3 linked regions of the Macaca fascicularis genome follow. The protein of the gene in region 1 purifies or fractionates together with the protein of each later gene. This does not show direct contact. Links are inferred from orthologs where the notes say so. Each region holds a gene or a part of one and is shown in the gene's direction. Other genes may lie near its edges.

Evidence for each region. Proteins that work in one complex are often made in the same cells at the same time.
Region 2: the proteins of TXNIP (region 1) and WWP1 purify together in Homo sapiens (affinity purification with mass spectrometry; 4 studies listed by BioGRID and IntAct, counting the BioPlex papers as one, with this or other methods). This does not show direct contact. The link is inferred for Macaca fascicularis from reciprocal best matches to the Homo sapiens genes TXNIP and WWP1.
Region 3: the proteins of TXNIP (region 1) and NLRP3 purify together in Homo sapiens (affinity purification with western blotting, with the first as the bait; 4 studies listed by BioGRID). This does not show direct contact. The link is inferred for Macaca fascicularis from reciprocal best matches to the Homo sapiens genes TXNIP and NLRP3.

What each region holds. Positions count from the first base shown.
Region 1 is NC_088375.1:113,421,809-113,427,118, forward strand, and holds the start of TXNIP (thioredoxin-interacting protein), read left to right. Parts: upstream 1-1,716; 5' UTR 1,717-2,031; coding exon 2,032-2,281; intron 2,282-2,830; coding exon 2,831-2,903; intron 2,904-3,016; coding exon 3,017-3,164; intron 3,165-3,276; coding exon 3,277-3,379; intron 3,380-3,511; coding exon 3,512-3,768; intron 3,769-3,877; coding exon 3,878-4,034; intron 4,035-4,147; coding exon 4,148-4,299; intron 4,300-4,429; coding exon 4,430-4,465; 3' UTR 4,466-5,310. UniProt on the Homo sapiens protein: May act as an oxidative stress mediator by inhibiting thioredoxin activity or by limiting its bioavailability.
Region 2 is NC_088382.1:96,199,265-96,204,115, forward strand, and holds part of WWP1 (NEDD4-like E3 ubiquitin-protein ligase WWP1), read left to right. Parts: intron 1-2,237; coding exon 2,238-2,371; intron 2,372-2,462; coding exon 2,463-2,603; intron 2,604-4,851. UniProt on the Homo sapiens protein: E3 ubiquitin-protein ligase which accepts ubiquitin from an E2 ubiquitin-conjugating enzyme in the form of a thioester and then directly transfers the ubiquitin to targeted substrates.
Region 3 is NC_088375.1:1,648,215-1,653,065, reverse strand, and holds part of NLRP3 (NACHT, LRR and PYD domains-containing protein 3), read left to right. Parts: intron 1-1,457; coding exon 1,458-1,628; intron 1,629-3,311; coding exon 3,312-3,482; intron 3,483-4,851. UniProt on the Homo sapiens protein: Sensor component of the NLRP3 inflammasome, which mediates inflammasome activation in response to defects in membrane integrity, leading to secretion of inflammatory cytokines IL1B and IL18 and pyroptosis.

The sequences.
Region 1 (5,310 bases):
TCATGATGCCTATTCTTGAGCTTGTTTAATATTGGGGTTGAGTTGTAACTTGTTAGCCTTGGGGTGTCAATCCAGCTAGGGTGTCTGAGGAAGGAAGAAGTCTCCTTAACAGCAATGAATAGGTTTCTTTTTTGCTGACTGGGTAGGGTTTCAATATACTTGAATGCTTCTTAGTTACTTCCCCATCTCAATCTTGGGACATTATCTTCCTTTCCAGCCCAAGGAATGAGATGATAATCTTCTGATACCCCAGCACAGATATGGGAAGGGTCTATGAATCAAAGAAAAGGGGGAAGAATCCCTGCACTTCTGCATACAGGTTTTTCTTATTACATTTAAGAGTAAGTTCTCAGTACTCAGCTCCTAAAGCATCTCACAGCCAGCAGGGGAAAATCCATCTGACAGCTGGCCAAACGAAACCAGCAAAGAATGAAACCAACAAAGGGAGGGTAGGGTCTCTTCTGGCTTGAATTTATAGTGCTCTAGTGACCGATCTTTCTTCTCTTTTCCTTCTTACTGTTTTCTAAACCGTTTAGGGAAAAACCTTTGAAAATATTTTTTAAAATTGTTCCTTCAAACAGGTGTATGGCCATCTCTCCACTGGAAATTTGGATATAAACAAGAGGACTTTCTTGCTTTTAACCAGATTTATGGATGTATATTTGATTTAGTGAGTTGGGAGAGGGGAGGGAGACAAGAAAGAGTGAACATAACTCTGGAAGAAAGTGAAAAAAGTGAAGCATCCTTGTTCCCCCCCCCCTTCCTTTTCCTCCAGAAGCAGGTAGGGAGTGCGAGATTATCAGCGCCTGGACACACCTCACTAAAGAGGTAATGAGGTAAATGGGAAACACAGACAAAGTGTTCCCCAACTTTGCAGGCAGAAATTGAAGAGATAACAGGATAAGCAACAGGATGTAAACACGCCTGTCCTATTTCCGTGCCAGAGAACAGAGAGAACAGAAGAGAGGGTACAAGGGGCGGGGGGTGACGAACAGCACACGCACGCAGCCCCCAGCCCTAGCCCCAAGGGATTGGAACGGGAAGTAGAAGACATCAGTCCTACAGCCGCAATGAGGCCTGAAAGTTCTCCTTTCCCTCAGAGATGGTGGTGTTTTTTTACATTTAATAGGGATGCGGGGCAAGAGAAGGACAAAGGGGCTGTTCCTTAACAGTAACACCAAGCATTCTGCGCTCCACGGCCCCAAACCTAAAAGTATTCTTGGAGCTATGGGATTTTCACACACTTGCTATTTACGAGCCACGAATAAACGACAGACTATAAAGTAATTGCACTGGCTAAGACTAGGCACGAAATTCCCTCATAAGCACATTTTCTTTTTACCTCAAACCACCGCTCTCAGACCAGAAACGTCCACACCCGCCCTCCGATGGCCTGTCGCCCTGGCTAGGTTTTAGGGTCAGTGGTATCCTCCTTCCACTAGGCCCGGGTAAAGACTCAAAAGCCCCCTCCTTCCCCTCATTCCTCTCCTTCCCCCCTCCCTGCGCCGCTCCCGAGCACAACAACCATTTTCCCCGCCAGGAGCACACCGTGTCCACGCGCCTCAGCGATCTCACTGATTGGTCGGGCTCCTGGTAAACAAGGACCGGGCAGCCAATGGGAGGGATGTGCACGAGGGCAGCACGAGCCTCCGACCCAGCGCTCGCGTGGCTCTTCTGGCCGGGGCTTCTATATAGAGCCGTTTCCGCCTGCTGCTTGAAACTAACCTCTCTTTCTCTGTCAAGAAGTGCTTGCGGAGATCGGATCTCTTCTCCAGCAATCGGGGAAAAGAAGACTTTTTCTCTGAAATCGCTTAGTGTAACCAGCGGCGTAAATTTTTTGGACGCCTTTTCGAAAACCTAGTTAAAATTCATTTGTTTAAATCTCATTTTTAAGCTCAAACTGCTTAAGAATATCTTCATTCCTTAGGAAGAGTGAAATAATTTACTGCAAAGGAATTTCCTCGATTTGGTGCATTTTTTTTTTTATTCTTCCACGGTCTTTTCTAACTCTCAAACCAACTCCGTCCCATCATGGTGATGTTCAAGAAGATCAAGTCTTTTGAGGTGGTCTTTAACGACCCTGAAAAGGTGTACGGCAGTGGTGAGAAGGTGGCTGGCCGGGTGATAGTGGAGGTGTGTGAAGTTACTCGTGTCAAAGCCGTTAGGATCCTTGCTTGCGGAGTGGCTAAAGTGCTCTGGATGCAGGGATCCCAGCAGTGCAAACAGACTTCGGAGTACCTGCGCTATGAAGACACGCTTCTTCCGGAAGACCAGCCAACAGGTAAGCGGCCCAATTCATTGTTGGAGGGTGAAAGCTGATTAGAGAAGAGAATTGAAAGGAATACACAAAACTATACGAAATGTTTTAAGTTGCTCAGTTTGAGTGGTGTGAATTGCACGTTGTTACTTCCTTTTTTCTAATTTGCAGACATTCTCCCCCCCACACCCCCCAAAAAAAAGGGTGGTTTGTACAATTTTTTATGGTGCTGTGTCCTAAAGGTGGTTCTGAGGGGCATTGCCTCGGATAGTTAAAAATCTTATGTGTGCATTAGTTGCTTATTCTTTGCCTACTTCCTGTTTGAGATGTTAGTGAAGAACTGTCCTGGGTGAATCTTTAAAAGCATTGCAGGGCAACTTGGGAACTTGCTGCCCAACAAAATACATCAGAATTTCTCTTTAAGAACAACATGGGATGATTAAAATACCTCTCTGTGGGACGAAATTAGGGGTACTTCAATACCTTGCATGCCACCCAAACATTCCTTATCACACAGATGCGTTTTAAGTGTAACAGGAAGCCTAATGGCTACTCGATTATCTTTCCCTTCAGGTGAGAATGAGATGGTGATCATGAGACCTGGAAACAAATATGAGTACAAGTTCGGCTTTGAGCTTCCCCAGGGGTAAATATCAGCTAAATGCATCTTTGAACTTTTCTGTCTAAAATATCTTGCCCTCCTTTGATCACTTACTGTTCCTTGGAGAGCATTTAAAAATTTTCATTTTCTTGACACAGGCCTCTGGGAACATCCTTCAAAGGAAAATATGGGTGTGTAGACTACTGGGTGAAGGCTTTTCTTGACCGCCCCAGCCAGCCAACTCAGGAGACAAAGAAAAACTTTGAAGTAGTGGATCTGGTGGATGTCAATACCCCTGATTTAATGGTGAGATTCATTTTAAAGATTATATTCTCCTGGGTCACAGGGATGATAAATCAGATGTCTTGGGCATTAGATTGAAGCATCTCAAAACACCTTTTTGTCCCCTTCTACATAGGCACCTGTGTCTGCTAAAAAGGAAAAGAAAGTTTCCTGCATGTTCATTCCTGATGGGCGGGTGTCTGTCTCTGCTCGAATTGACAGAAAAGGATTCTGTGAAGGTAAAATCCTAGTGCTTATGGCAGACAGATATAACAGGAACTAGGTTTAGGGGCAAGGGCATGGGACTGGGGTAGAGGAAATGTCATTAACTATACTGAGTATCAGTAAGTTTTCATTTTTCTCTTTGCTAGGTGACGAGATTTCCATCCATGCTGACTTTGAGAATACGTGTTCCCGAATTGTGGTCCCCAAAGCTGCCATTGTGGCCCGCCACACTTATCTTGCCAATGGCCAGACCAAGGTGCTGACTCAGAAGTTGTCATCAGTCAGAGGCAATCATATTATCTCAGGGACATGTGCATCATGGCGTGGAAAGAGCCTTCGGGTTCAGAAGATCAGGCCTTCTATCCTGGGCTGCAACATTCTTCGAGTTGAATATTCTTTACTGGTGAGTAGATGCAGGGTGGGTTCAGCAGAGAAATTGTTCATCTGTTACCATAACTGTCTTGTTTCACCAGAGCGCTCTGGTCTAACAAACTACCATCTTCCTTTTCTAGATCTATGTTAGCGTTCCTGGGTCCAAGAAGGTCATCCTTGACCTGCCCCTGGTAATTGGCAGCAGATCAGGTCTAAGCAGCAGAACATCCAGCATGGCCAGCCGAACCAGCTCTGAGATGAGTTGGGTAGATCTGAATATCCCTGATACCCCAGAAGGTGAGCCAGACCTAATGTCTTTTCTTCATTTCTGGTCTACCTGGGTTTGTAAAATTGTGATGGTCCAGCATTTCTTGGGCAGGCTTCTTATGTGGCCATATTTTCTTTTCTAGCTCCTCCCTGCTATATGGATATCATTCCCGAAGATCACCGATTGGAGAGCCCCACCACTCCTCTGCTAGATGACATGGATGGCGCTCAAGACAGCCCTATCTTTATGTATGCCCCTGAGTTCAAGTTCATGCCACCACCTACTTATACTGAGGTGAGAATTGTCATATTTACTGTTAAAATTTGTCCTAAGCTTTCTATAAGAAGTTGACTTAGGGGGATTGCTAAACTGGTTTGTTCTTTTAGTTCTTATCTGAACTGAAATAGTCTGTTTCTTCCTTTAGGTGGATCCGTGCATCCTCAACAACAACGTGCAGTGAACATGTGGAAGAAAAGAAGCAGCTTTACCTACTTCTTTCTTTTTGTCTCTCTTCCTGGACTCTCACTTTTTCAGAGACTCAGTAGTCTCTGCAATGGAGTGTGGATCCACCTTAGCCTCTGACTTCCCAATGCAGGAGGTGGTCAGCAGGCAATCTCCTGGGCCTTAAAGGATGCGGACTCATCCTCAGCCAGCGCCGATGTTGTGATACAGGGGTGTTTGTTGGATGGGTTTAAAAACAGCTAGAAAAACTCAGGCCCATCCATTTTCTCAGATCTCCTTGAAAATTGAGGCCTTTTCGGTAGTTTCGGGTCAGGTAAAAATGGCCTCCTGGCATGAGCTTTTCAAGGTTTCTTGGAGGCTTTGTGCAAATTGTGATAACCACTTTGGACCTTCAACTTATGTATCTATCATGTGGAAAAGAGCCAATTTAGCAAACTAGGAACATGAAAAGGGAAATTATGGCCAAAACTTTGGGAAAAGGAGGTTCTTAAAATCAGTATTCCCCTTTGTGCACTTGCAGAAAAAAAAGAAAAACCTTCTAGGGCTGATTTGATGGACATTTGGAGAGAGCTTTCTCTGTGATTATAAAAAAAGAAGCTAGCTGCTCTATGGTCGTCTTTGCTTAGAGTGTACTTTAACCTGGCTTTTAAAGCGGTAGTAACTGTGTCCCACCAAAGGTCTTAAAAGCCATTTTTGGAGCATATTGCACTGTGTTCTCCTATTGCAAATATTTTCATATGGGAGGATATTTTTCTCTTCATGCAAGTCCTTGGAATTGATTCTAAGGTGATGTTCTTAGCACTTTAGTTCCTGTCAAATTTTTTGTCCTCCCCCCTCCACCAT
Region 2 (4,851 bases), on another chromosome or scaffold:
TTTTGATTTGCATTTCTCTGATGATTAGTGATGTTGAGCATTTTTTCATGTATTTGTTGGCTGCTTATATGTCTTTTATTTTATTTTTTTTGAGACAGAGTCTTACTCTGTCACCCAGGCTGGAATGCAGTGGCATTATCCCAGCTCACTGCAACCTCTGCCTTCTGGGTTCAAGCAATTCTCCTGCCTCAACCTCCTGAGTAGCCGGGACCACAGGCGTGCACCACCAAACTCAGCTAATTTTTGTATTTTTAATAGAGATGGGGTTTCACCATGTTGACTGCGCCAGTCTCAAACTCCTAACCTCAGGTGATCTACTTCCCAAAGTGCTGGGATTACGGGTGTGAGCCACCACACCCAGCAGCTGCTTATATATCTTCTTTTGAGAAGTGTCTGTTTATGCTTGCCCACTTTTTAATGGGGTTCTTTTTTCTTGTTGATTTGCTTACGTTCTTTATGAATTCTGGATATTAGACCTTTGTTGGATCCATAGTTTATGAATATTTTCTCCCATTCTGTAGGTTAGCTTACTCCCTCTTTTGCTGTGCAGAAGCTCTTTAGTTTAACTATGTCCTATTTATCAATTTTTGTTTTTGTTGCAATTCTTTTGAGGACTTAGAAGTTTTTTTCTCAAGGCTAATATCAAGAGGGCATTTCCTAGGTTTTCTTCTAGGATTTTAATAGTTTTAGGTCTTACATTTAAGTATTTAGTCCATCTTGAGTTAATTTTTGTGTATGATGAGAGGTAGCACTCTGGTTTCATTCTTCTGTATGAAGAAGCCAGCTGGGGGATCACATTTCAACATGAGATTTGGAGGAGAGAAACATCTAAACAATACTACCAAGTTAGAGGATAAAGAATTTGATAAAGTCAGAATATAAGGAATATGAGAGCAATGGACTTGAGTTGGAGAGAGGAAGAGATTTATTTAGCACACATACTAGTTGATAGAAAGATTATCTGTAATAAGATTATATGCATTCAGATGCTAGTAGTGAGCAGATATAGTAGAACACACAAAAGTTCTCTTGTGGTTGCTTCTGTTTCCTCTGTGAAATAGGAAGTAAGATCATCAACTCAGAATAAGGAGCAGGGAGAAGTAAGTATTTGAGGAAAGAGGAGTAGGAATGAAATAGTCATCTAGGAAAGTGGGAGAGTGAATGCAGTAGGGAAATGTGATTACCAGGAAACAAACCAGTGATGAAATATGACTGTTGGTCATGGAGGAGTCAGCTTGGTTGTTTATGCATTTCTAGCATGTTCCATTGCCTAGGTATAGACATTGAGTAACCTGAGAGTTGAATTTAGCTGTGCTTGGGATTTTGCTAGAATACACTGGCGGAGGTAGGGTTTGAAGGGAGTTATTTTATTTTATTATTTGAGACAGAGTCTTGCTCTGTCACCTAGGCTGGAGTGCAGTGGTGTGATCTTGGCTCTCTGCAACTTCCACCTCCCAGGTTCAAGCAATTCTCCTGCCTCATTCCCCTGAGTAGCTGAGATTACAGGTGCGTGCCACCATTCCCAGCTGATTTTTTGTATTTTTAGTAAGGACAGGGTTTCACTGTGTTAGCCAGGATGGTGTTGATCTCCTGACCTCATGATCCACCTGCCTCAGCCTCCCAAAGTGCTGGGATTACAAGTGTGAGCCACCGTGCCCCACCTTGAAGGTAGTTATTTTAATGATTGACTATGGAATCTAAACTGAGTAAGGGAAGACATAACTTCATGAGGAGGCTAAGGTAGTATTAATAGCTTCAGTGGATTTTTTTAGTTCCCCCACATTGCTGGGAGTCTGGGGCTTCCTGGGTTGGCTGTTGTGAATAGGAGCAAAGGCACAGTGAGGTTAGTCCTAAAAGCCTCACATGCAACAGTGAGAATAAGAAAGGAACGGGGGAGCTGCCTTTTCAGGTGCACAGAGCCCTTTTCTATTTCGTTATCCAATTAGGTTAATTCAATTTATAAAACATTTAGGAAGATTGAGGCAGGGTATGGTAACAGAAGTCTTGTATCATCCTCTACATTTTTTGATATATGTTATATAGCTGTATGTATAAAATAGATTTTAACTTTGTTTTTCATACCTAGCATTTTATATAATATTTTAGTTTTCATGATTTATGCCATTCACTTACTGAATGCTTTACTTGTAAAGTCTCATGATTTTTCTGTTATCATTGTTCTGTAAGAAATTGTTATTTTGCAAATTTTAAATAAAATTTTTCATTTTTCTTTGCAGGCACTATTTCATGGAAAGTTTATCGATACTGGTTTCTCTTTACCATTCTACAAGCGTATGTTAAGTAAAAAACTTACTATTAAGGATTTGGAATCTATTGATACTGAATTTTATAACTCCCTTATCTGGATAAGGTTTGAAGATTTTGTTTTGCAGTAAGTCATTTTTTTGAAACTCGTTTTGTTTCATTTTGTTAATTAGTGTATATATATTTATTTCACCCAGAGATAACAACATTGAAGAATGTGGCTTAGAAATGTACTTTTCTGTTGACATGGAGATTTTGGGAAAAGTTACTTCACATGACCTGAAATTGGGAGGTTCCAATATTCTGGTGACTGAGGAGAACAAAGATGAATATATTGGGTAAGGCGATATACCTTATTAAGCTTAATTTCTAGAACACTTCAGAACTAAATCCTTTCTCTGTACCCTTAATTTCATCCCCTTTTCATGCCTTTGGGAAGTTCTTCTCACCAGTACCACTGCTCTTGAAAAAAAAAGAATGTATGTTGCTTCATTTTCCCACTGCCATTTGCTGTAACCATTCTACCATTTCCCTTTCCATGTCATTTTCCCTTTTTTAACTTAGGCTTTTAAATAGTGCTCACCATAGCCTCTTTCTTGAAACTCAGTGTTTTCTTGAATTCCATGATCCTATGTCATACTGATTTTCCTTACATTCTCTTGTTTTAAAATTTTGTTTTCAGAGAGGGTTTCACTCTGTCGCTCAGGCTGTAGTAGTGGCGTGGTTGACCATTGAGCTCAAGCTATTCTCCTGCCTTAGTCTCCTGAGTAGCTGGTACTACAGGCTTATACTACTATTCCCAGCTAATTTAAAACAATGGTTTTTTGTTTTTGTTTTTGTTTTTGTTTTTTAAAGACAGGGTCTCACTGTATTGCCCAGGCTGGTCTCAAACTCTTGGCCTCAAGTCATCCTCCTTCCTCAGCCTCCCAAAATGCTGGGATTACAGGCATGAGTCACCACTCCTGGTCACTTGCACTTTTTTAATGACGGTTCTCTAAATCTCCTATTTCCTAAATGTAGGCATTTTTCCAAGATTTTATTTCAACCTGCTTATCTAAATATTCTGCTAACATAGCTTCAATTTTCTGTTAAAGTTATATCTGAACTTTAGAAATAATTTCCATTTGCCAGCCAGGTAAATCCAAACATTTTCAGGAAAGAACCAGGCAGTAAACTTGTTAGGCTTACAGGCCACATTTCTTATTGCAACTACTCACCTCTGTGGTATAGTGTGAAGGTAACCATAGACAGTGTATAAATAGATGTGTGGCTGTGTTCTAGTAAAACACTTGTAGACACTGAAATTTGATTTTGTATGATTTTCATATCCCAAAATACTTTTAATATTTTTCAGTCATTTTTTTAAAATGTAAAAACTATTCTTAGCTCAAATGCTGGGGACAAAAAAACCAGATGATTAGGCCCACGGGTCATACTTTGCCAACACGTGAACTACAGATGACCCATCTTAAAATGTCATGGGTCTAAAATCAAACTTTTCATTTTTTCTAGATATTTTCTCCTACTGATGTCTTCTATGAATAGTACTACCATTTTCACCCTCTTAGATGCTAGCTGTCATCTCTGTCTCTTTCAGATTTTTTGTTTTTTATATTTGTTTTGAAAATGGGATTGGATTATACACATTACTCTGTATTTTACTTTTTTGTCTTAAGGACAGTACAGTTAAATCTAGCTCATTTTTTAATAGCTAGGTAAACTGGGGTGGTTTTTTCCCTATATTTTTCAGCTATTCCTGTCAATAGAGATCATTTAGGTTGTGTCCAGTTTGGGCCACTGCAAAGAAGACAGCAGAAAACTTCCTTAAGCATGAATCCATACATCCTGCTACTTGTTTTGTGGGCTAGATTTTTAAAAAGTGAAGTTACTTGGTCAAAAAGTATTTAATAGATATTGCTATGTGGCTTTTGTAAAATGTCACAGCCATTCTTTTTTCCCTTCTTGTAAATTGCTATGGCCTTTCAAATTTATATCCTTAGTGTCTCTGCTTACCAACTTCAATGTACCCTTCTTAGCTTGACATTCTTGGCCTCTTCTGTTTCTGCTAAACCAGTCATCTCTGAGTGAGAGAAATTAGCAATAGCTGATTTTCTTCTTTTGTACTTTTGTACTCTGTTAGATATTTTTGTTTTGCTTTGTTCTGCAGCGTGCATTTATTACACTAGTTGGAAAAAAACAGTAACACTAAATTTTGAGGAAAATATATTCACAAAGATCACGCATAAGGCACTGGACTTTTTTTTTATTTGTTAAGCCTGAGCCTTCCACAAAGTCCAACAAAAATAAGTACCACAACCTGAGTGGTTAAAAAAATGCTATCAGTGGTTTCAAATATCAAAAGCAGTCTAAATAAAATCTTACCATGTAAGATTTATATTCACTTTCTGTAAAGTTAAGCACTGTTTCAAAACATTTTATCACTGTAATACTATTCATAGCTAATCATGAATGCAGCAATTTTTGGAGGATTTTGTTTCAGTTTCAAATAATAACAGACTTTAGTCTTATTTTTTAATCCTGCTTTTGCGAATTATATGATAACACTCTTGTTTAGTTGTGATACCT
Region 3 (4,851 bases), about 110 Mb from region 1:
ACCGCACCCGGCCTTTGTGTAACTCTTACCCAAATAGTGAACATTGTACCCAATAAGTAATTTTCCAGCCCTCACCTGGGTCCCACCCTCCCACCCTTCTGAGGCTCCAGTGTCTATCATTCTACGCTCTGTGGATGTTACCCTTTGTTTAGCTCAAACTTGTAAGTGAGAACATGTGGTATTTGACTCTGTTTCTGAGGTATTTCACTTAAGATAATGGCCTCCAGTTTCATCCATGTGGCTTCAAAGATGTGACTTCCTTCTTTTCTATGGCTGAGCAGTATTCCATTGTGTATATAGATCACACTCTCTTGATCTTTGCTCTTTTGATAAATTTCAAATTGTCGTACCATGGAGACTGGCTCTTTGGGACACTTAACCTTATTTCTCCAACTTCATCCCCAAGTTCTCTCCCCACTGCCATTGCCCCTGTGTGATTCTGGAGAGGGAGACACAAACAGGAAAGGGTAGGTGACAATGAGATGTTCTGCAGATAAGTAGAGATCCATTTGTCCATTTGCTTGAAGTTGGTGTAAGGATAGGAACAGAAAGGAGGTGGTCTAACAGGCTCCAGGACCTATGAACTATTGCCCTGGAAAGAAACTAGAATGTCGTTCTCGCCCCCACGACAGGGATACATTTTTGTTGCTGGTGGTGGTGGTGACGGTGGTAGTGATGTGCGTGTGTGTGTGTGCATGTGTGTAACGGTGAAACCAATAAAGAATCAGAGCTGCAGCGGGGTGCGGAACCCCAGCACTTTGAGAGGCTGAGGTGGGCAGATCATAAGCCCAGGAGTTCAAAACCAGCCTGAGCAAGCTGGTGAGACCTTGTCTTTACAAAATAATAAATAAATAAATAAATAAATAAATAAATAAATAAAATAGCTAAGCATGGTAGCACATGCTGGTATTTGCAGCCACTTGGGAGGCTGAGGCAGGTGGATCTCCTTGAGCACAGGAGTTCTAGGTGGCAGTGAGCTATGATCTCACCATTGCACTCCAGCCTGTGCAACAAAGTGAGACCCTGTCTCTAAAAAAAAAGAAAAGAAAAAGAAAGAGAAAAAGAATCAGAGCTGCTTTTCCTTTCAATATAGATGGATGGCTGGGATGAAATCATCAAGCACAATGGGGTGACAATGTTGGTAAAGACAAGAAATAGCTGAGTGCAGCGCTGGCGAGGGCAGAGCCGACTGCGGGCACATCAACAGTTAGGAACACGAGGGAAGGAGGTGGAGTGCACAGGCCCACACCACCCGTTTCACTTACAAGCCAGGAGCTCACCATTCACTTGTCTGGGGGGTGACTGCAATGCACCCGGCACTGTTTATGGCCGGGAATTCACTGACGGGTGCTCCCTCTGCTGTGACTGGGGAGCCTGAGGGCTGACCTTGTGCTGTATTCCGGAGTTCTCTGGTCAGATGTGTTCTGACGCTTTCTGCCTCTGTTCTTGGCATGAAGGTTGGGGCGCTGCGGCCTCTCGCATGAGTGCTGCTTCGACATCTCCTTGGTCCTCAGCAGCAACCAGAAGCTGGTGGAGCTGGACCTGAGCGACAACGCCCTTGGGGACTTCGGGATCAGACTTCTGTGTGTCGGACTGAAGCACCTGTTGTGCAATCTGAAGAAGCTCTGGTGAGTTGAGCCCGTTCCCCAAAGGAAGCCCTGCCAACAAGGCATGTTTCGCACTCTGGCTTCAGTGAGGCCTGGGGGGCTGGAGTTTGAGTGACAGTGGCCTCGGCGGCTCAGGTGGCTGTGTGTGCTTGTCTCTGGGTGTCTGTGGCATTTCGGTCAGTTAGTGTTTGCTGTGGGGAAAGTCACACACTCAACCCTGACAAGGGGCATAAGTAATAAAAAAAGAAGATGACTGCCTGTAGGGTGCCCACTGCCTTAGCTGAGAAAAAGAAGAAAACCAGTGTAATGCATTGCTTTAGAGGAGTTTTAGAATTTCATGACAAGCCCTGGGTCCTCATGTTGTATAAGAAAAATGGTGCTAAAGCAGTGCAGACACTCGATGTTGTACGCAGCCCTTCCCTGAATGCTTCTGGGAGACTTGCATTTTGAAGGAGAGAAAAAAACACTTAAAAATGGAAGGGCCAATTCTCACCCATTAGGATGGCTATTATTAAACAAAAGCAAGAAAACTAGAAAACAAGTATTGGCATGGATACGGAGAAATGGAAGCCATTGTGTATTGCTGGTGGGAAAGTAAATGATGCAGCCAGTGTGGAAAACAGCACTGCAATTCCTAAAACAATATAGAATTACTATTGAAGCCAGCATTTCCACTCCTGGGTATATCTGCAAAAGAGTTCAAAGCAGTAACTCAGCCAGGCACAGTGGCTCACACCTGTAATCCCAGCATTTTGGGAGGCCGAGGCAGGTGGATCACTTGAGGTCAGGAGTTTGAGACTAGCCTGGCCATCATAGTAAAACCTTGTCTCTACTAAAAATACAAAAATTAGCCAGGCGTGGTGGCACGTGCTTGTAATCCCAGCTACTCTGGGTGGAGGCAAGAGAATCGTTTGAACCTGGGAGGCGGAGGTTGCAGTGAGTCAAGATCACGCCACTGCATTCCCACCTGGGTAACCGAGGAAGAGTTAAAAAAAAAAAGAAGGCAGGAACTCAAACATGTTATTTGTACACCCATGTCCATAGCAACACTATTAGCACTAGCCAAAAGGTAGAAATAACCCAAACGTCCTTCAACGGATAAAGGGTGTTGAAAAGTGCTATATATGTACATTCAGCTTTAAAAGGAATTCTAGTACACACTACAACATGGATGAGCCTCAGGGACATTATGCTAAGTAAGATAAGCTAGGCTTGAAAGGGCAAATACTCTGTGATTGTCCTGATAGGAGGTGCCTAGAATAGTCAGATTCATAGAGACAGAAAGAAAGGTGGTTGCAGGCAATGGGAGAGTGGGGAACGGGAAGACATTGTTTAATGGTTATGGAGTTTCATTTCGGCAAGATGAAAGGAGTTCTGGAGACGGTGGTGAAGATGGTTGCACAACAATGTGAATGTGCTTAAGGCCGTTAATCGTGCACTTAAAAATGGTTAAGATGGTAAATTTCATTTTACACGTATTTCACCACAATAAAGCTGAATGTAGGGAGCTGGGAAGATGTAGTATTGGTGCGAGCTTGTTATTCCGCCAGATGGAAGAGGAAATCAGAAGTGTACGTAGAGCTTGTGTCCACTCCCTTTCCATGTGTAAACTGGAGTAGAGGCAGTGGCAGGTACGGGTGCCTCCTTGTTCATGGTGGAGCGTGGGTGAGAGACATGACTGACATTCTGCCATCTTTGTGGAAGGCTGGTCAGCTGCTGCCTCACATCAGCGTGTTGTCAGGATCTTGCGTCAGTATTGAGCACCAGCCGTTCCCTGACCAGACTCTACGTGGGGGAGAATGCCCTGGGAGACGCAGGAGTCGCAATTTTATGTGAAAAAGCCAAGAATCCACAATGTAACCTGCAGAAACTGGGGTAAGTCTTCATGGGTGTCTCAGCAGAAAAGTAACTTCTTTTCAGAGGTGAATTATGTGGAAAATGTGGATGGGGGTTACTCTGGTCAGGCAGAGTTGAAGGTAGAGTAAGGAGGTAAAAACATCAGAAATGGTTTGAAGGACTGGATGTATATAATGTATACTACTGCTAATGAGATAATTTATGCTAATTTATGATTATAGCATTAGAGTTTCTTAGTGTTGGAAAAAACCTTAGAGATTGTGCAGCCCAATTGCCCATTAAGGAAAAAACTTGTTTCCAAGGCACTCACATGAATAGTCACCCATTTTATGTGTGCATGCATGCAAGTTATCGTCCAGTGCGTGCAGCCTCTACACCAGGAAAGAGCTCTTACCCTGCAGCCTCTACAGTAGGAGAGGGATTTTACCCTGCAGCCTCTGCACTAGGAGAGAGCTTTTACCCTGCAGCCTCTTTATCCTCAACAGTGTCAGGGCTCAGCACCTTCACCTGTGTAGCCATGCTCTCCCAGGTACACAGGCTGGTTTGTTAGTGTCTCTCTTTGAAATTTGGTGCCCAGACCTGATGACGTGTGGTGGATGTTTTAGCTCCTGTTGCAGAGAACTATGGTTTCACTGGTGGAGCCTCTGATTTCCTTATGCTTTTTGGCAGTTACATAAACCTTTTGGTTCTTGTTGGAATTCTGCAGTAAACAGTAGTAGAGAATACCCACTAATAATCATGCACTTTCCCTGTACCACTTTCCCTATACCACTTTCCCGTATCACCTGCTCTTTCCTGTTCTTACATGGATTTTCTCAGTTGGCGTCAGAAAGATGCTGTAAGGTGGGTATCTGTGTCTCCAGTTTAAAGAGGAGAAAATACAACTCAGGGAGCCTCGTAACTTTGTCCAAGGACACTCAGAGAGAAGGTAGTGGAACTCAGTGTAGACAAACGTCTGTGACCCCCCCAGCCACTGCCTTAATTCCCAGTGCATCGCCTTAGGAGATGTTGCTAATGGGCTCTCTACGGGGCTTCTTCCTCTGGCTCTCAGCCTAAGGGTGGGACCTTCAATTTAGCTTTGCTAAACCTCATCTTACCTGTCTTTTGACCCATTGACTAAGCAGTTTCAAATCTTGATTCTGTCAATAATATCTACAAATACAACAAGCAAATTGTATACGTCTTCATTCATTCATATTATTAATATATATACCAGCCAGATCAGCATTCAAGACAAAATAGAGCAGGAAAGGTCTTCCCAAAGGAGTAATCCACTAATCCGTAATTAACAACCAATATCTGTTCACAAAGCTCTGATCCTTCCTTGGGCCTGTCCCATCAGCCCATCCTCAGATGTGACCATGTCTCTTTCTGTGAAGTCTTCGTG